Linked DNA regions of Oryzias latipes. The main gene of each other region encodes a partner of the protein of the gene in region 2 in a complex. Links are inferred from orthologs where the notes say so. Each region holds a gene or a part of one and is shown on either strand. Other genes may lie near its edges. The genes, in order: vrk1 and phf2.

What was found.
Region 1: the proteins of phf2 (region 2) and vrk1 are in contact, whole or in part, in a crystal structure (PDB 8F8Y), measured with the Homo sapiens proteins. The link is inferred for Oryzias latipes from reciprocal best matches to the Homo sapiens genes PHF2 and VRK1. Residues at the interface, in NP_005383.3 of Homo sapiens: Tyr7, Tyr14, Val16, Thr17, Arg18, Phe19, Met20, Ile21, Glu22, Trp29, Glu39, Ala42, Ile45, Asp46, Tyr48, Lys64, Tyr145, Ser147, Glu150, Lys175, Val178, Asp179, Tyr182, Ser183, Thr184; in NP_003375.1 of Homo sapiens: Pro2, Arg3, Val4, Lys5, Ala6, Ala7, Gln8.

Annotation. Positions count from the first base shown.
Region 1 is NC_019880.2:3,854,493-3,865,053, forward strand, and holds the start of vrk1 (serine/threonine-protein kinase VRK1), read right to left. Parts: upstream 6,485-10,561; 5' UTR 6,370-6,484; intron 5,405-6,369; coding exon 5,245-5,404; intron 5,136-5,244; coding exon 5,080-5,135; intron 4,628-5,079; coding exon 4,558-4,627; intron 4,166-4,557; coding exon 4,078-4,165; intron 3,981-4,077; coding exon 3,872-3,980; intron 2,474-3,871; coding exon 2,381-2,473; intron 1,897-2,380; coding exon 1,764-1,896; intron 905-1,763; coding exon 784-904; intron 680-783; coding exon 621-679; intron 1-620. UniProt on the Homo sapiens protein: Serine/threonine kinase involved in the regulation of key cellular processes including the cell cycle, nuclear condensation, transcription regulation, and DNA damage response.
Region 2 is NC_019863.2:25,202,566-25,213,056, reverse strand, and holds the start of phf2 (lysine-specific demethylase PHF2), read left to right. Parts: upstream 1-5,618; 5' UTR 5,619-5,754; coding exon 5,755-5,852; exon of another isoform or gene 5,853-6,825; intron 6,826-10,491. Other genes in the region: fbxw9 (F-box/WD repeat-containing protein 9), read left to right, coding at 1-26, 113-316, 388-453, 1,433-1,507. UniProt on the Homo sapiens protein: Lysine demethylase that demethylates both histones and non-histone proteins. Enzymatically inactive by itself, and becomes active following phosphorylation by PKA: forms a complex with ARID5B and mediates demethylation of methylated ARID5B.

The DNA.
Region 1 (10,561 bases), on a different chromosome or scaffold from region 2:
TCTGCAGTTCGGGCTAACGCCTGCTGAGCGTTTGTCGGAGGATTTTAACCTCTGCCAAAGACCCAGCTGCTCTACAGTTCATAATTACATAAGGATATATTTTTTAATGCTTTTATTGTGAAATGCAAATTTGAAACTTGAATAATATCTGAGAAAATATATGTAATAATAACAAAGTGTGCATCAGGGAATTCATTTTTGATCATTATAAACCGACAGAACAGTTTCTTCAGTTAATTGAAGCTCTTATATCAACGACTGCTTGAATCCCATTGGCTGATATGAATGAGGACCATTACAGTCAATTCCCATCAAGGAGAGTATTTGTTGCCCTTTTCAAACAGCTCTAAACATTTGTTTCATTTCTAGTTTGAAACATTTTAAATGGATGAAAAGATGACGGGAGTGGGACTTTAAGGACAAATGCCCCAAACAAAGACGTCTGTGGATCCATTTGACTGTTTCTACCATATCAGCAGAATTTAACGTCTGGTTTTCATTTCAGTTCTTTTTATAAGGTTAAAGTGTTTTCTTCTGGCTCACAGCTAAGATGTTTTTTTTCTCTGTCTGAGCAGGAGGAAGGTGCCAACCCACCCCGGCGTGCATTGTTCGTCTCTTACCGGGTTTCTCTTGAGAGGAAAAACACTTGGACATAAACTCTGAGATGTTTTCTTGACTCCTGTGGGAGAAAAAAAACACACAGAGAGCAGCTGTTTACTTCCACCTGAACACAGATCAGTTGACATCTGGGACGCCCCGCGTGAAGCGGCGCCGGCGCTCCACCTGATCTTGGAGTCTCTGACGTAGACGGGGTCTTGGAGCTTGTCCTCCCAAGGCAGACGTCCGCACAGCCACTGAACCATGCAGTAGGACAGGATCTCCAAGTCGCCCCGCCTGCAAGGAGCTGCAGACGAACCAAGACGTGAGGAGCTGAACCATGAGCACGAGTAACAAGATTCTGAGCTAGGCCTGTACAATAAATCGCAAATTTGTCGTTATTGCGATGTCCATAACGCAAAATACGGCGAAAATCACAATAAATGCCGAACCTTTAATCTGATGGCAGCTTGAAGTGTTTAATGAGTTGAATAAATCCATTTATGCGTTTGACCAATCAGACGGAGCCTTCATGTTAGATGTTTGCCTCTTATGTAGACGAGGGTCATTTGGAGTGTAAATTAAGGTATTTTGACTCTTATTCAAATTAAATTGTTGCATTTTCTGTTTTTGGTTGTTTTGGTATTTGTACATGCATCAAAAGTTATGTCATCATCGCAATGTTGATCATTAATGTCGTACATCGCGAGTTTTCCTCACATCGTGCAGCCCATTGTGAATGAGAGCTTTCCAAGAACCGGTTCGACTTTCTGCACTAACAATATTGACTGTCTTTGTTTCATTTCTGAGTTTAGAAAAACACTTTGACTGTGATTCCAGAAAATCTCAACAATCGGTTTTAACTCAAAATGTAAAACAGCAACAAAAAGTATAACTTTAGCATCAATCCTGTTTTTACATTTCGTGTTTTATATTTCTTTAACATAGAAATAAACTCTCTTTTTTCCACATTGTAGTTATATTTGGGCTTTTGGCAAAGGAGATGTTTACATCCAAAAAGGTCAGATTTTCTCCTCGGCCTGATCTTATTGTGTCTAAAATGATTGGATTCGCTCATTTCCACGGCTGGGTTTCATTCAGGATATGAGTTTAATCATATTACAGTCAGTAAGTGGATCTGAGTTTCAGAGCGGACTCGTACGCACCGACTCCTTTGTGGGCATCGATGCTGGTGAACTCTATGGTTCCATCGTGGCATTTCTTGGGATCCTCCTTGTACTCTTTCAGGACGCCATCAGGAGCGTATCTGTATGCCAGGCCGTAATCTACCAGATAAACCTGCACAGCCAGCAGAACCGGGAAACCAGATGAACCCGCTGTGATCAACGAGAAGAACGGACAACTTCCAGAACCACAAGTTCTTTTTGGACTCGAAATCTTTGCTCAGTCTAGATTCTTTCTGGCTTAAATAAGTGACACAGCTACAGTCCATCAACAGAAACAAAAAAACAAAACAGAGGACAATTAAGCATAGAATCCTGAGGGCTCATTTTTATAGTGTCATTTAAAAACAACACAAACAATCCATTATTAATCTCCAAATTAAATACCCGCGCCTGTTCCAATTGTGTTTGCTAAAAATAATACAAAAATAAAAAAACCTCTGCTGCTTTCTAATCTTTAGACACACACCTACACCCACACACAGCAGGTTAGAATAGAGTCTAATGAAGCGGAATGAGGGAGCTTCAACCAAAACCTTCATCCATCCCGGCTTCCAGCAGCAGAGCTGAAGGCCGGGGGTTTCCCCACATGAACTGACCTGGTTGGGGTCACTGTGGCTCAGCATGAGGTTGGACGCTTTGACGTCGGCGTGCACGTACTCATGCTCGTGGATGAACTCCAAAATGTCCAGCTGAAAACACACAGGAGAGTTCAACCACATCTCGTTTATTGTCTTGCTATAGACAAACAAACACTAGATGGCAGCAGAGATGCTGTAGCTGCAGCTGGAGCTGTCGTAGCTGCAGCTGGAGCTGTCGTAGCTGCAGCTGGAGCTGTCGTAGCTGCAGCAGAGATGCTGTAGCTGCAGCTGGAGCTGTCGTAGCTGCAGCTGGAGCTGTCGTAGCTGCAGCTGGAGCTGTTGTAGCTGCAGCAGAGATGCTGTAGCTGCGGCTGGAGCTGTCGTAGCTGCAGCTGGAGCTGTTGTAGCTGCAGCAGAGATGCTGTAGCTGCAGCTGGAGCTGTCGTAGCGTGTTCAAGTCTCGTTCAGGTTTCCCAGCGTCAGACTTCACAGAGAAGGAAACTGCTTCAAAGTTTTACATGTTTAATTCTACATGCTAAACAATTGGCATAATGCTTTAAAAGATCTTCATTCAAGGCTAACCGGGAAAACCGGAGTAGCTGGGTGAACGTAAAAAGAGAATACAAGTAATCGCTGTTTTTAAAGTTTGTTGTTCTCGTTTTTTAACCCTACCTGGAAGTTTTGGCAGATCCACAACTATTCAATTCAATTCAATTCAATTTTATTTGTATAGCCCAAAATCACAACAACAGTCGTCTCGATGGGCTTCGAAGTAAAACATGAAATCAAAAGGATCACGAATACAAAGAGTTCAATAGAAAAATACTAAAATGAACTAACAAACTGACTAAGCTATACTGGCATCCCTGCCCTTAGACCGCCCTTCGCGGTAAGGAAAAACTCCCAAAAAAACCGGATTCCGGAAAAAACGAAGAAACCTCAGGGGTGCCCACATGAAGGAGGGATCCTCCCCCAGGACGGACAGGCGATTTACCAGAAATCTTAGAGAAGAATTAACTTATCTAAATCTACAACTACATATATAAAAGTCCAGCAGACGAGCTTCATCCAGCCGTGGTTGTGGGGACAGTCAAAGGCGCGAGTCGAGCCGGAGACAGGAACCACAGCCACGTGTAGGAGCAGGAGCAGAGACGAGGTAAACGGTCAGGTACAGAGCAGAGACGAGCCAGAGATGAGCCAGAGGCAGGATCCACAGCCAGGTGTAGGAGCAGGAGCAGAGACGAGGTAAACGGTCAGGTACAGAGCAGAGACGAGCCAGAGATGAGCCAGAGGCAGGATCCACAGCCAGGTGTAGGAGCAGGAGCAAAGGCGAGGTAAACGGTCAACTAAAGATGCATTATTATATAAGCTCGGAGTAAACTTAGTTTTCTAGAATCTGTGTTTAGAGTTAAGCAACAGAGATTTCTGCAGCCCTAAACTCTGTGTTTTGACACAATGCAGTGCTATGTGTTTTAAGCTAATAGAACACCATTCTCCTCATCAACCAACCAGGCGGAGACCGAGCTGCAGGACCAGTTTTCTGGGGAATCTCTTCCCACATTCTTCAAACTTCTTCTGCAGGTCTGTGCCGAGTCTGTCAATCACCATGAAGCGATACCTGCCAGGGGCAGAGAGGGAGGTTTCTGCTGTGTGTTCCACAAGAAAACCCTCCCGATCTCAAGTCCAGAGTCAAAGACGGGGGAACCCGGTCTTACCTTTTCCCTCCTTTCTCATGCAGACCGGAGCCCCAATAACGGGGAACCCCCAAATGCTTCAACTTCTGGGTCTTCATCCAGGTCTGGACTGCAAGACAAGCAAAGAAACAAAGACTCAGAACAGACTGGAGAGCCCAGATCCTGGACTGTGAAGACAGACGTTTGTTTTTGTTTTTTAGCGCTGGCCAGCGTGACCAACAGTTAATCTGCTGCAGGGACAAATACATGAATAAAAGATGAGCCTTTGGTTTCTTAGTAATACTGCAGTTAATTGTCGGGGGGATTGACATTTGGAATGTTATTATATTCAATGCAGAGCTGTGGCCCCCAGAGCCCAGTTCCCCCTTCAGGCCAGCTGTTATCCTCCGCTCTAACATCCTCTCTTTAATTAAGAAAGTTTGATTCTTTTATTTGTTTGCATCGGATTGGAGGTTCCCGTGACGGCGAGGAGTACTGACGAAGAGTGAAGCTGCAACTTACTGAGATCGGGCTTGGCGGCTCTCATGTAGAAATGCAGCTCGGAGAACAGCGGCCCGTTTTCGCTGGGTTCCTGTGGCAGAAAATGTAGTTTTTTTTAAACGACACATCAGCTCTGGATTTGAATGTAAGATCCTGGAAGTCACAGGATCACAGCGAACTCACACAGAAAAATGAAAACACTCTCCTGCTCCAGAATAGTATTGCAAAAAGTCAGAAACACCAAATCAATCAATCTTTATTGGTAAACCGCTTTAACATCTACCAGAGATCCAAAGTAAAACAGTAAAATCCACGTTAATAGAAACACTAATAGAGCTGGCCTGATTGTCATCCACTCTGATGTTAAAACCTAATGTAAAATCTTTTAACAAAGATTTAAATTCATGAGGATCTGGCAGACCTCACGGAAAAAGGGAGACGGTTCCAGAGTTTAGGGGCGGCCCCTGAAAAGGTTCTGCCCCCCGTAGTCACAAGTCAGTGGAGATGATGACAGGAAAGATGAGCAGACTTGTAAAGCCTTACCACTTTGATGACGTACGGCGCTTCTTTACCAACAGGTTTGTCAGAGTTCTGATCCGCTGAGGATGAAGAAAGAGATGGACAGCAGTTTGCGTAACACATCTGGAAATGCTGGCAGTCGCGTCACAAGGGTCAAACATTCATCTCTAACTGCAAAGCTTTTCTCACCCAGATAAATCAGGCCGAACCCCCCCTGGCCCACCGGAGCTCCCAGCTTCCAGGATTTCTTCCCGGTGTCTGTGAGAACTTCTCCAGGGGGAAACTCCTCGGCCAGCTTCCTCTTCGCAGGAGCTCTGGCTCTGCCGGTCGCTTTGGCTTTAGGGGGCATCTGAGACATGGGGGGGAGAGGGGGGGCGATCAGAGGGGTTAACAGGATTCACCCAACAGAAGAAAAAAAACCTACAAAAACAATGATTTTGATACACAATCTATGTTTAGACACATTTGAGATGTTATGTTTTATACGACTCATCAGATTAAAAGGATCATTTTCTAGGAAACTCCTTTTTTGATTATGAGAAGAAAGTAACAAAAAAAAAAGATTTTAGAATTCGGATTTTTTAAAACCTGGAACCAACACAATAAAAATTATTGTATTTATTTTTTATTTTTTATTCATTAAAGCTTCAATTATAGTTTCACTTTGGTCATTTGCATGTTTGAAAATAGTTTAAAAAAAGAAAAAGAAAGACATTATGTGTATTCAAGTGAAAAGTACAATTATAGCATTGCAATTTTGAGATTTGGAAATCAGATGAATTAATATTACGGAGATTATTATTTGTTTGCTCTTTCGACGGAAGACTCATTAAAACTTAACACGTAAGAAGTCCCACTTTATTAACATATATCGGTTTAAAATCAGCAGTGAAGCTTTCAGCAGACTGCTCGCTTTAAGTTAACCTCAAATCTGATGGCAGAAATCCATTATTTGGATAAAGTGGGAACTTTGTTTATTTATGTGACGCATTTACAAAACCAGAAAACAAACACGAACCATCCATGGAATATTTACCAAAAAAAAAACACGAACACGAACTCCAGGCAGCAAATAACTAATCAGCATCACCAATCTGAACGTAATACGCAGTAAACACAGTTGTTGTTGATGGACAAACGGCGTCGAGCATTTTTAGATGACCGGTTAGCTTGAGGTTAGCTAACTAACTGCCTCGTTTTGATTTGTTCCGTCAAACTGTTACGATATTTCGCAAAATAACGGCGTTTTTTTGCTGTCTGTCCCGATTTACCATCTAAATATATATTCTTAAGGTGTTAACAAAACATACTTACCGCAATATAAATGATCGCGGTTGATTTAGGGCTTAAGTGTTTACGGAACAAACTTCCCGCAAACTTGCCGGTCAGGAAGTTGCGTCACTAAGCCTCGATTGTCTATTGGTGGAATGACTACCGGAAGTAGAGATACGGGATTTTTTTTTAAACTGTATTGCCCAAAATGAAACGTTACTGTCCCCAAATAAATATTTGTTTAGAAAATAAAAATGTAGAAAAAACTTTAAAAAAAAAAATTAAAACAAAATTATTTTTTTTAATACATTGCAAATGCAGAACGTAGCATTAAAAACATAAAAAAGGTTTCTGAAAGTTATTTTTTATTTAAAAAGAAGCAGTAACTATAGTTGAGAATTACTTTAAATATATGGTTTAATTTTTTTTAATTTTTTTTGTGGCCACAAACAAACAAAAGAAATCCCATCTACCTTCTTGAAAACATCAATCTAAAAGTAGTATTTAATAGGAAAGATCCTAGGAACATGGTCAAACTGCAGGAAAAAATGGAGTACAACAGAAATGAATTTCAAACAAAGAAAACTTTTAATTAATCATTAAAGTTTAAAAAGATGCATTATTTTTGAGGATGGGAACATACTAAGCGGTATTTACCAATAAAAAGGAACACCCAATTACTATTGTCATTTTTCAGAAAATAGACTCTATACACAGTATAAATGCATAAACCTAAAAATAAAAAATGGGAACAGTTAAATATTGATAAAATTAAAAGTTATATGTCTCAAGTCTTTTTTTTTAAAGTCTCCACACTGTAAATAAATTGGAGCCCACAGTATTTGAACAGATCTCACTGTGGGTCTGACTCTTGAATCAGTAAAGAGGCCTGAACATGAGGATCTGAGGACTATCAGAGGTTAATATGGTAAAAGTAACAAAACAACTAAATTAAAGTGACTCTGTCTTTCTGATCCTGGATGAAAGTCCAGGAAAATCCTGGAAAATGTCCCCCTGAAGATCCTGACTTTGTCCCTTAGTATAGTTACTTTGCAACTATACTGACTTTCTCTGCCTCAGAGCTAAAACTTCACTTTTGTCCTGATTTAGAAGCAGGAACTTCTCTAACATTCACATCCTTAATAGAAAATGCAGTTAAAAAGGTTGTCAATGTCATGTCATCAGCACAGTTAGATTTATATTACCCATGTGTGTGAGTCTGTCTATTAGAGTTTAGATGTCCTCAGGTAAGGTTTAAGCATCCATATCAGTTGAATTATAAGGAATTATCCTGCCTTAAGGATAAGAATATCCCTCACTTGCTCAAAAAATAGATGGCTAATTCTAAAATATGTGCAACAACCTGTCTGTTTCGCTCCCGGTAAGAAGCAACAAAACTATTTCAGAAAAGAGTCAGATGGCACCTGAATGCTAGCAACAGAGTGTCAAAGGTGGGCCAACCTAGATCCACAGGGTGTTTGGTCTGGAGATTCTACCACAGCCGAGCACCATGCTGGCCTGTGCACCAACCAAAGTCTAACCGCTGCCAAATCCGAGTCATTTACCTGTTTATATTTTGCACCTGTGTTTGTATATATTAAAATAATAAAAATCCAGTCAAATCATCCATTTGTAGATAAAATAATGTGTCAAATGCAATGATGCTGTTTGTGCACTCCGATCTGTTGAGTCTGCTTGATCAGAAAATGTGATTAAGTTCCTGTGGTGTCAACAAAATGAAGAAAGTCAAAAAAGGAGGAGCTTTAAAAGCTTGATGGTTAAATCTCTGACCCTATCAGGGTTTTCACTTTTAACACAACCACATTTTCACAAGAAAGAATTAGTTTCTATGAAGTTTTATTCAAAGACTTTATTCACAATGGATGAGGATGACAGTGACAGATGAAGGTCATCCTTCCTCACACGCAGGCTGAAGTGAAAGAGCTGTTGTTGTTTTCAGAATTTGTCCTGTAGTGTTTCTTCATAAAGAAGCAGGAGAAACTTTGCTTCAGCAAACATCTCGCTGCCTGTGCACCTTTGACTCCTGCTGCAAATGCTGCATTTGAATAGGTATGTAAATGTGCACAGTCGTGCCATTTGATACAAACATATCAGGTTTCAACTGCAACCCAGCGCACAACTCATGAATAAGATATTGGTTCTTCAGTGTCTTGTTTTTTTTTTTCCAGGTGCCACATCGTGGAGGGAGCTGCTTTACCTGTTTGTCCACAAAGTACAAATCAGAAGAAGTTGAGTGATGTCTCCACAGAGGAGAGAATGATGCCTGAGCTTAGCTGACAACCACTTTCTGTTCGGAGATTTAAAGGCAGAGATGACGCGCTGCGGCGAGCAAGAGGAGCATGCAGATGAAGCCAACAAACCCCAGAAGAGGATAAGCAAAAGTGGAAAACATGTGTCCTTTCCTCCTGATGAGCAGATCGTGTCCAGCTTTGTTGAGGACAGAGACAGAGCAAGTAAGACGTTTAACCACAAAAGCTGGAGTCTGATCATACCTGCAACTTCTGCGACTGCAGATTCTCCAGAAAATCAGACAAACTTGATTGTTCATATTTCAGCTGAGCGCTGTGTCACTATGGAGGAGGTGCTGGAGGCCTACCAGCAGAGCTGCAGCAAACACCAGGTCCAACCCAAAGAGAGGATCCTGCAGCAGCTCCAGGTACAACCCCACCTCATTTCCTCTGATCCGACAGGCTTGTGGAGCAGTCCCAGCAATATATATATATATATATTTTTTTTAACTTGTCCTGTCCAAAAGCTGGGCAAACAGATGAGAGCTGAAGGCCTCTTGTGTTGGACATATTTTACTTTAACAACAGGGGTTATGAATCTTCTGACAAACCAGAGGTATGTCTGAATAAACCCCTTTTGTAATTGAGGCCAAACTTTATTCATTTTAATCATGTTTGAAAATATTTTGTGTTGGACCGGACGGAAAAGGAAAGAAGGAAAGAAGAGAGAGGGATGTTAGAGAGAGGGGGATAGGAGGGAGATCATAGGGGGGGGGTGCAAAACCATGAAGCAGCATAAAGCAACAAGCTACTGGGTGTTTATCATTACGGTAAGGTTCAGATGTAATACAAATCTCAAAGGGCGGGGTCTGCCTACACACACACTTGAATGTTATAAACACACCTGTTAGCTGCAAAAATGTCCACATGTCAACATGTACACAATACAAATAGTGTTCACAAATGCATACTTATGCCTTCAAACCAACTAGTGTGAAATATTAATTAATAAATAGTCCCAGTAATATTTTTGCCACAAAAACCCCCAAAAAACTGTAGTTTCATATAATTCTTGTTGGTTTGAAGTAAGTGGAATATTCAGCATATCACATGTTACATTTAAGAAACCCAAAATTTCTAGCAAACATTTGAACATAAAAAAGTGAAAGCATAAAGGCAAAAAGCTTATTAAGATTAAAAAGATTTTGTACTAAATGCAATAGCTCAAACCCTTTTCATAGTATATGAAAGAGACATCAAGAAAAAGTTCATGTTACCAATAAAAATGACATTTAAAAGCTAACTCACCAGCAGGACAGTTTTTTTTTTAAATAATTCTCACTGTTTTGTGTAAATTTAGTAAACATGAGTTTGACCTGAAAAAGCTGGACATTCACATTCCATGACAGATAAAAGCTGCAGAGTGAATTATTGCTTTGAGAAGTGTTTGTAACTCTGTTTTTGAGCGGCATCAGCAACTCTGCTCATAAAATAAACGCTCCGTGCAATGACATTACAGCTCGGCAGCACGGATCGATATGAACGCTACAGCCGTGCAGGAGCTGAAGCTGTCGGCGCCCGCTGCAAAGCCGGGCTTTATTAAAACAAAGGCGCCTCCATGAATCAGTCCAAGCGACACGTGTGAGCACGCACGGCCTGACTCAGTCTGCTGCTGATCTGAGAGCGTGTGGACTTCATTTCACTCATGTGGCTGGAGCTGCTTCAGACAGGCTCACTGAGGCGTCCTCCCTCCAAACAAAAGGCTATAGAGCAGGTTAACTGGAAACAATTTACCTCCGACGTTTTCCTACCAGTAAGAAAATCCATTTACAGTTTTTGTGAGGCGTAGCGTCATTGGTTCTACAATGACTTTAAGAGCAGAATTATGAGAAAACCCCTAAATATTCTGTGGAGGAAGCAAGCAGCTTCCTGCGGAAACAGCGGGACTTCCTAAAACACAGAGGAAAATGGTTGGATGAGAGAAA
Region 2 (10,491 bases):
CAGAGAAAATCTTGAAGAGAATTGTGGTAATGCCACACACAATTTGTTTCCTAACAGTTCTGAACTGGTGCTCACCTCCAAAATTGATTCCGAGTCACCTTTCTGCTTGTAGCTGAAGCATTATCCGATGCGCATGAGCTATGACGGCTGCGTGGTCTGGGCGGGAGACTGTAAAGGCCTGCTGCACGCCTTTTACATGAACGCGGACCAATGGGAAAAAAAGACTCAGTTTGACGTGGGGCACCATGCTGTCATCACTGGAATCCACAGTTCACCATCAAGCCTTTACACCTGCTCATCTGATCGTACCTTTAAGGTAACTTTTTCTGTTTCTTTGCCTGTTTGTGTTTGGGCATTTTACCTTATAATGTCTTTTTGTTATTGCAGGTACATATTCCTTCTGTTTCCCCTATAACTGTACGTACTTTGAAGTATAAATCTCCAGTCAGTGCAGTAAGTATTTCATCCCCAAGCATTGATCTGTTAGCCCTTTCACTTTGTCAGCATGGTTTCATCATTATGGTGCGTTCACACCAAAAGCATTTTGCACGGCGAAGTCGCTGCTGGACGCTTGTCCAAAAATGTGTTATCATAAACCGAATGCTACCGCCGCATGTGGGAGGAGCTACTATCCAATGTTTTTAGCATCATCACTACATCTGTATCTCTCAGTGCAGGGAAGACGAGAAATGATGCCTAGATATCCGGTTTATTTCTTTTGAAGAGCTCCAAAGAAACATCAGTAAATGCGTTTCCATCAGTAAATACGTTTCAATGTCGGGATTCATGAGATCATTCAGAGACTCTCCCAGAACGGTGAACTTCACCATCTACTGTAGGAGCTGGGTCTGAATGATGGCCGTTTTCAGCGGTACTTCCGTCTCTCTGTGACACAGTTTGACGACTTGCTGTCCTGCTTTAGTCCACGGAGGGAAAAAAAAATGTGGAGGACCTTTTTTATTGTAGTCTCTCTAAAAATAAAACATGTATCATCAAGTTCACAAGAAGAACAATCAGATTCTCCTCTATGTAGGTGTTGGACTTAACTCACTGATCACATCCTCAACACGTCACGGGCCAAACTTGAGTTCCAAATTGGTTGACATGACGCCAAATTTTCACCAAAGTTCATATATTTGTACTCAGGTGGCATCTGAATTTTTGCCATGCTCCCACCAGACCGCTGCATTGCGCCCGGCATCCAAATTCTGCCGAAGGTTCTCTGATCGTGTCTTTACATTAATTTAACATAAAACTGGCTGCCGATCACATTTGAATTAGAACCTGATATGTGTTAAGACTACCTCATCGTTTATCCGCAATAACTTAGAGCAATCCATCTAGATTCAATAGAGTTTAAATGAAAAAACAAAATGTTCTAATTTTTGCATGTTCCCGTTTTCCCAATACTCCTCTCAACATTATTTTTCAGGTGTGCGCAGAGGCAGGGGTGGTTGCAGTTGCAACTGGAGATGCTAGCGTGAAAGTCTGGAGACCCAGAAAATGAGATGGGATCATCTGCATGTTAGTTTTTCGTTAGGGTGGGACTGTTTGTGTGGTGCACACACATTCAAACGTAAACCACTGCAAGCATTTCCAACATAGATGGAAGGAAAAGGGCTTTGCTCTGCAGCATGCTGGAGTTGAAATCGTGGCATGTTGGAAGCACTTCTGACTCCTCTGCATTGACCTTTGATTGGGTTTTGTTATTTTTAAACAGACGAAGATGCTTTGAGTCTTAGACCGGTTGGAAAACTTGAAAACACATGAAGACGGCACTTGAAGCAGCAGCAAACCGGCTGACTATTATTGATTTCTAAATGTAAAAATAAAACAAGGAGAGAGAGAGAGGGAGGCTGATTTCTTCACAAAAAGTCAATTTAGTTTGTTAACAGAGTTGTGTCATCTTATTTAATTGAAGGCAACTTGGTATCATTTCAGAAACTTATTTTTTTTACAATGTAATTTTCATGTAAATATGTTTTTTTTTGTTCTGTTATCTTGTACTGAAATCCTTTACATGGCACTTTAAAGTGTTGTGTGTGCCGATGTATATTACTTAATTTATAACAGATTTCTATTATTTCATTATTGTAACACCACAGCTGAAACATTTATAAAAATAAGTGATTGTATTTATAAATTATTAGTCTAAAAAAATGACCCAATACTGAGATTGTTTTGTTTCCCTTCTGTACACTGAAACAAAAAACGTTTTGTATCTCAATTGTCTGATTTCTTGGCTTGTTTCATAGACGACATGTTCTTGTTAGTCAGGTAGGTGAGGCACTTGTTTTTGTAATATTGACTACTTTGTTCCTTGACTCACCTAGGGTCATGACAGAAAGAAAGGTCCCAAATACAAGCGGCTGAAATGAGCTTCCTCCGTAGGGTGGCTGGACGCTCCCTTAGAGATCGGGGGAGAAGCTCTGTCACCCGCAGAGAGTTTGGAGTAGAGCCGCCTCGGGGAGCCCCCAGAGGAGCTGGAGAAGGTGGCCGGGGTGAGGGAAGTCTGGGCATCTTTGCTTAGACTGCTGCCCCCATGAGCTGGTACCGGATAAGCGGAAGAAGACTGATGGATGGATGAGTACTTTAGTGAAGTGGGACAGTTGTTTTTCTTTGGTTCACTTCAGCTGTTAGAAGTATCAAAGCAGGAGTACTCACATTTAAAAAACAAACATGTGAATTAAAGTTTTAGAAATGTTTTCTGGCTCTCCCACAAGCGTAAAGCTCCTCTCAACCTCTACCTAATATAACCAGTAAAACGAAAATGGTGAGTAATATTTGAGCTATCCAGTCTGGAGCCAGATGACGGCTCAGACGAGGGAAACGATCTGGATCTAGTCGTCTTGGATGCATCAGAATGAAGAGGACCAGGGAGCTTGTGGCTCACAGTTCTACGTCACCGCTACAAGCTTTTTCCAAAGGCATTTTTGTCTGTGCTCCTAATTCACAGTGATTTGAATAAAGAAATACTCAAAATGCATTTTTAAGCTTAATTTTTCTTTATAAATGAAAGATGCCACAAGAACATAGGAAAAAGACAAATTTCATTGGAGTGCATCTTCAAAGAAGAAAATCTCAGAAGCGTGTCTTTCAGATGACATCTATAATCTGGGTTCTGGTAGGAGAAATCTTTGTGTCTCAGCCACTTTCAACTGTTGTGAATGAAACTCCTTTTCCTCATAACTTCCTTCATAAAAGTGTTTATCAAAAAATTACAAAAAAAACATACTATCAGCATTTGTAACCTTTATCACACCATCAACCCCAACCTTATATGAACACACACTTTCTTGAAATAAAAAAGTAATTAAAAAAATGAAATAGAAATTAGAAAAACAATAAAACAGAATAAAAAATTAGAAGGTGAAATACAAATATTTTAATCGGTTTAATTTGAAAAGTTCTATTGAAAATAGAAACTTAACCAGAGATAGTTTTTGTTTCAATATAGAAGGGAATTTTTTTTGGAGGAAGTAGAACAGATACTTTTAACTTACTTGGGACTAACTGGCTAATCAAAAGATGAATAATAGATTTGTAAACATTCATCATACAGGTTCATGCACCCCCAGTGGCTACAGGGACAAAGATCTGAGGCTGTTGGCAACCTCTCCAATCATTTTCCTTCAAGTGGTGGTTATACAGTAGAGGGTTGTACCCATTAATCACAAAGCAGAATTACTACAACTACTGCAATCTTAATTGACAATATATTCACAAATGTTCTGGAGAATAATATAAATAGTGGTCTAGTTATAAGTGACATCAGTGACCATCTACCTGTATTTGCAACTTTTGATTACAAAATGCCACCAAAGAAACTGGTTCAGAATAACAGATCTATAAGAACCAGGACTGAAGAAGTAGTAAATGCCTTTGAAAATGATCTGCTAAAACAACAATGGAATAGAGTTTATGTTGATGATGTAAATTCTGCATACGGTTCACCTCTCATTTGTTTTTTATATGATCAACATTGTCCAAAGGTTTTATGTAGAAGCAAACATAATACTCATAAAAAACCTGGATGACAAGGGGCTTACAGAATGCCTGCAAAAAGAAAAATTAACTACATACACATTTTTTTCAAATGTAGATCAGACTTCTGAAAAAAAAAATTAAAATGTAAAAAGAAATTACTGACATTTTGAGAAAAACAAAAAAACGATTATCATAAAATTTTAGTTGAAATTAAAAATAATACTAATGCCACATGGGATATTTTCAACAGGGTAATGGGAAAAAAGACAGGATCAGTAAACTTTCTAAATTATTTTACAAAAGTTAACAGAGATACAGTATATAAAATCTAGATGCAGTTGTTAATTAATTTAATTCATTCTTCATAAATATTGGATCTAATTTAGCAAATGAAATGACAAAAAAAATGAAAAATGTGAATGACAATCAAAAAGTAGAGAACAAGGTGATGCAATCAATGTTTCTATCTACGGTGGATGAAAAAGTGATACTATATATGGTACAAAAATTGAAAACAAGACATCAATTGATAGTTATGGCACTTACATGAAAACTACCAAAATGACCATAGATTGTTAAATCAGACCTTTATGTTATGTTTTAAATCTGTCATTAAAACAGGTATCATTCCTGATGATATGGAAACTGCTTTTCAAATCAGGTGACAAACATTGTTTCAGTCATTAGTCATTACTTTCACAGTTGTCTAAAATAAGAGAAAAATTGTTTGCATTTTAGCTATTATTTCACTTCTACACCACAAACTTGGACCTCATTTAAACAAAATGAAATAAAAAAGGAATCAATATTACTTCGTTATAAGATACAGCCAGCTACTATTTTGGTTTGTTATTAATTACATGTTTGCATACTTATGAATATATTTTTTTAAATTACCAATAATTTGCAGGTTTATTGCTCAGTTTGTGGTGGAAAAAATATGCTCTAAAATGGAAACAGAAACATGTTTTTTATCTATCTATCTATCTATCTATCTATCTATCTATCTATCTATCTATCTATCTATCTATCTATCTATCTATCTATCTATCTATCTATCAATCTATCTATCTATCTATCTATCTATCTATCTATCTATCTATCTATCTATCTATCTATCTATCTATCTATCTATCTATCTATCTATCTATCTATCTATCTACAGTATTTATCTACATCTTTTTTTATTTTTTTTCACGTTTGATTATGTCATTTTGTTCAATCCCTTCAAATGTATATATTTAGTTGTTTATTTTTATTTCTTTTTACTTCTTCTTCTTTTTCATCTTTACATATTTTATCTATTTTTTGAAAGAGAAAAAAAAAAAAAAAAAAAAAAACACTGAGATGTGTGTATTGCTCATGGGTCCCGTGGCTGGTTGCTGGGATTTTAACCTCCCCTCAGTCTGACGTAACTTTGCTTTTTGTTTATTTCTGTCTTTGCAGAGCCAGTCTGCTCATTCATCCCCCTACTATGAGCGCCGCGGAGTCGCGCAGTCAGTCACCAGGGGGCATGCACATAGTAATAATAATAATAACGATGCATTTCAGGAAAAGCTGCTGAGGCGGGCTTGTTATCGTTTGGACCGCTCCGCACGAACGCTCCCGCGGCCGCGGTGCGATGGCGCGGCGCGCATAGCTCCATGTGTCCGGCGGGACTGCCCCTGGCTTTTTTTCTGGGGAAGATCATATTGGATCATATTGTTTGCAGGACGTTGTTCCTCCTGCAGCCCCTCCAGTCTATCCCGACGTAGTTGTGAATTGAACATGGCGACTGTACCAGTATATTGCATCTGCAGATTACCTTACGACGTGACCCAGTTCATGATCGAGTGCGATGCCTGCAAGGACTGGTTCCACGGCAGGTAAGAGCGGATCGCCGCGCGAGTCTGTTTTCTGTATCTGTTTGCTTTTATGGAAACAAACAAAAATGGCGAGCAGTCGGCTGCGTTTGACAGCTTTGTGGCTCTCAGTCGCCCGTCTGCATCTGAGGAGAGAGGCCGCTCGGAGAAGAAGAAGGCGGAGTTAAATATAGCCGACCGGGGTTGTGACATTTTTTGGCGAATAACTCAACACCGATCCGTCGGATTAGAAATGTCTGCGTTTATTGTCGTGATTTTGTGATGGGCTTGAAGCCGTATCTGCCCCCTAACAGCCGTTTGGGACCCCGGAGCAGCCCCGAGCTGGAGCCAGCCTTCCCCCGGTCCGGAGCAGACGGCAGCGGGGAAGCCTCGGCACTGTCGCCGCTCATTTCTTTCTCACTTCCAGGCTTCTTAGCTGCCCCCACGCCCGCTTTCCCCCCCAACAATGCCCCTGAATGTGGGCACACATGAGTCCGTCACACGGTTCTCACGGCTGACTCGTTCAGAGGGGCTGGAAATCACGACTCTAGCGAGCCCCGGACAGCCTTCCTGCCGGGCAGCAGCTATGGCTGACAAAGCCCGTGTTGGGAAAGGTTTCTGCGAGCGGAAAAGCAAAAATAAAAAAAGCATATCTAACTGCTTTGATGGATCTTTGAACTACACTTGGTTTGCTGGCTGCCCTGCCGCACGGCACAGGCGCGTGCCCCCCACCGGTCATCACTTTTCCCGTCCAACGAGCCCTGCGAGGATCGCTCCGATCCTCCGTTTCCACACGCCAACATTTGCTCGCCTTTGTCTCTCCCACCCTCACACTCCTTCATGTTCACACTCGACGCTTCTTTGGACCCTATAAAGTCATTCGGCGGCGTTCGGGCCGACTTTATATAAAAAACAATCGTTTATTATAAGCATTTTTAGTGAAGAAGTCCTTGAGAGCAATGGAGAGTATTTACGCGCCTGAACGTTAACCCTTTCGTCTTCCTCCGCTGCAGCCTGATCACAGCAGCAGCCCGGGGATGAGCGCTGACCCTCCACGCACAAACCCACTCAAGATGACTGACTGTCAGGTTCACTCAGTCCACTTGAGTCACAGACGAAGACCAGAAACAAACAAGGACTGAGAAAACGTTCATATTTTTTAAGCAGAGAAACTGCAGTTTAGTTTTTTGAACCTCCAAGCACGAAAAACATCCATCCGAACTGAAGGAAACCACAAAAAACAAAACATAAAAGCAATCAGTGTTTGAGCAAAACATCTCGTAAAGTAGTGCTTTGATGAAAATGTGTGTGTTTTGGGTGTTTTTAACGTGTAAAGGTGTCATGGAGGACATATTTAAAGAAAACTAAACTTAAATTTGCCTTTCTAGGTATGTCTGTAAACAAATCATTGTGAATCAGAAGCAGATGTAATAAATCCAAAAGAGTTTCTAGCAGTGATGTAGATGCTACAGTCGTAGGCTACAAGCCCCCTGCTCCGCTCTATTCAAATGCATTGCTTGAAGACAAATAGATCCATATACGTCTTTGTTTTTCTTGACAGCGCTGGTATCTCACTCAAAACTGTACTATTGGACAGCTCCGATATTGCTCTGCTGATTTGTTGCATTGGTAATGTTAGGTTGGGGTTGTGAGGGGCTCTCAGGGAGAGAGAGTGTAAACAAAGGGTTGACGGGAAATGCGTGGAGGCTTACTTCCTGCCGATAGTCCCGCCCACACCTCAGAGTCATTTTCTGTTGAACTCCTGCTGCTCTGCATTAAAGATGCTCTAGAAAATGACACAAGTTTTTTTCTTTTTGGCTAAAAATGGCATAATCATAATTAAAAGACCTCCAGGAATGCTTTTACAAGAGATGACTGGAGTTGGACTTAAGGCAGAGAAACTATAGTTTACAAGAAGAAAATACCAATCTGAAGGAAATCACAGAAACAATCAGTGTTTGAGCTCAACGCCTGGTAAAGTAGTGCAATTAAAAAGTGTGCTTGGTAGATTACTTCTTTATTGGAACAATATTTATTTGAGGTAAAACCTGATATTTTTTTCATTTACAAATGCCGCCACATTTGTGAGCAAAAGACACGTTTGAGGGATGAGCTGCAGAGACAGATCTGACTCTTCTTTGAATTCCTGAACTCCAAAGACTTGTTGACAACCATACACCTTTTCAAAACAGGAAGCTCAGTAGCATGTGAAAGAAACAGTTGCAGCTTCCCTCCTCCTTTTCATGCTGGTCACCAGCCTGCCTACATTCTGCTGTGGGATGACGTCCCATTCTCTAATCAGCATTTGTCAGGAGGCAGCCAGCATGGTTTTTTTGGACACAGCGACTCAAACATGACTCCCCGAACCCACAAATGTTCAGCAGGGCTGAGGGCAGGACTGCTCACTCTCAAGCTCTGGAAGCAGCCTCTGATAGAACCTCATTTGCTGAAGCAAGCATTTTGTTTGGGGGATAATTTTGGTTGGAGATTAAAAATATCAGATTTCCGCAATCTCATCTCTGTGTGTTAAGTGCACTGATATTAGCCTTAATAATGACAAGCTTAGTTTTTACGATCAAGAAGACTCAAATCATCACTCCACAAGTGCAACATTCAGATTTTTAACCCGACAACCAAAGACAGAATCTGGAATATTTGCTGAACACAAGTGTATTTCTGAATGTCCAGGTTTCTAGTGCACCTCCAATATGAACATGCATGATGCTGAAAATCATCAATAGCAGCTTCCTGGCAGCCCAGAGAGACTGGCTGTTTGTATGGGAACTGATGATAAAAAAACAACTGCCTATGTGCTAAATGATGACTGGGTGTGGAAATGTTTATCTGTTGCTCAGTGGCTGTTCATTAGTTGTTGTTTTTTTTCCGTGGGACAACCACATCACAGTCCTCACTGTCATCCCTGTTGTGAGGAAGCAGAAACCGCCACGAAGCAGAAATGAACCGACCTAAGACGACAATAGTTTGGAAACAGACACCAACACATCACTGCAACAGGAATAATGCTCACAGGATATCGGATTAGCATCTGATGTTAAGGATGTGGGGGCTCCAGGTGCTTAAAGCAGCAGAAACAAAATTAGGGCTCTCTCAAACCAGGCAATCGTTAAGCATGCTAACCTCAAAGTATGATGTATTTAGCTAAAGTGATTCAATGATCAGGCACGACTTGAAGAATATGTGCAGCAGAGGTCTGCCTGCAGAGGTGGGCCAGAGCACGGCACTGTTGACTCTAGTGTGGTACAAGTCTGGCCTGTTTGCTAAGAGTGCTTACATTTTGCCAACCTATGACAGGTGTCTGTAATAATGTGGGACAGTGGGTCAACTTCTCAAACCAGTTAGCTATGAAATCACAATGGGAAACAAACGCATCACAAACAAAAATGTGTTTTTTGCTCTTGAAGACTGCTTTGTGCACCCCAAAAACCTTCTTCTCAATTATTGGTGAATATTATAACAATTGAAGCCCCACTACAATCATCTTTTGATCTATTTTAAAAGCGTTCTTTTATGATTATGCTGTTTTTAGGTAAAATCAAAATTCTGTGTCCCATCCTCACCTAGAGTAGCCAAACATTCACAACGAAGAACTAAAGAAGAAAAAGACAAAATAAAAATGAGATAAAATAGACTAATTTGTGGATGATTTATTTAATAAATTCATTTTTTTTAAATGCATATATTTTAACATCCGTAATCTAAACTTTTAAAAGAACATCATAGCTTTTTTGTATTTTTAGTAGGCTTCTTGGATAACATTTTTTATTTGATAAAACCATTTGTCTTGGTCTCTGTTACAATATCATGGAGAGTCTCCAACACTTTTTTGACTCCAGGCTCAAGAAAACTTGGGTTCTGCAGCGGATTAATGATCTGATAAATGAGCTGATCAAATGAAGATTCATTGAGAGCAAAAGTTGGGCCTTAAATTTAAGTTTCAGACTCATAATATGCAGCAGAAACTTGCTTCTAACGTCAACTAAAATGATCAAAAACATGAGAAAAAAAAGAATCAAATTCATCACAAGATACAAGAAACTCCAGAACAGTTGTTACTGGGGTTTGGTATCAGACGTCACTCAACTTGTTATTCAATTTTTGGAGCAAATACTTTTTCAAAAAAGATTACACAAAGGTTTGGAAATGCAGTCTTAATGAGTCAAACCATGAACATTTTTCAGATTACAACAGACATTATCCACTCAAATAAGATTACATTTGTGCCAAATTATGAAAACCCATAAAGCATTGAGGAAAATCCTAACCAGTACTGAGATAAACAGATGCCGGTTGAGCTTTTTGGTAGCATAAATGATGTGTTTTGTAAAAAGAACTTTCAGAGATAGAGTTAGCATTGATTAATTATAAAGAGAAGGGTCCCAAAATAGAGCTCTGGGGAGCACCATTGGTTAGAGCAGCAATAATTGACAATTCTTTTGATAATGGAGTCACTAAACAAGACTCTTTGAGAAAATGATTATTTAATTATATTTTCACGGGGGATTGAATGAGGCAAGATGAAAGGGAAGAGTGTGACATTTTGGTTATGAGAATGTAAATTTGCTTAGACTAAACTGTTTAGCAAATGCCTACAACTGCTTTATTCACAAGGTGGGATAACAGCATAAGGAAAAAGTATTATAAA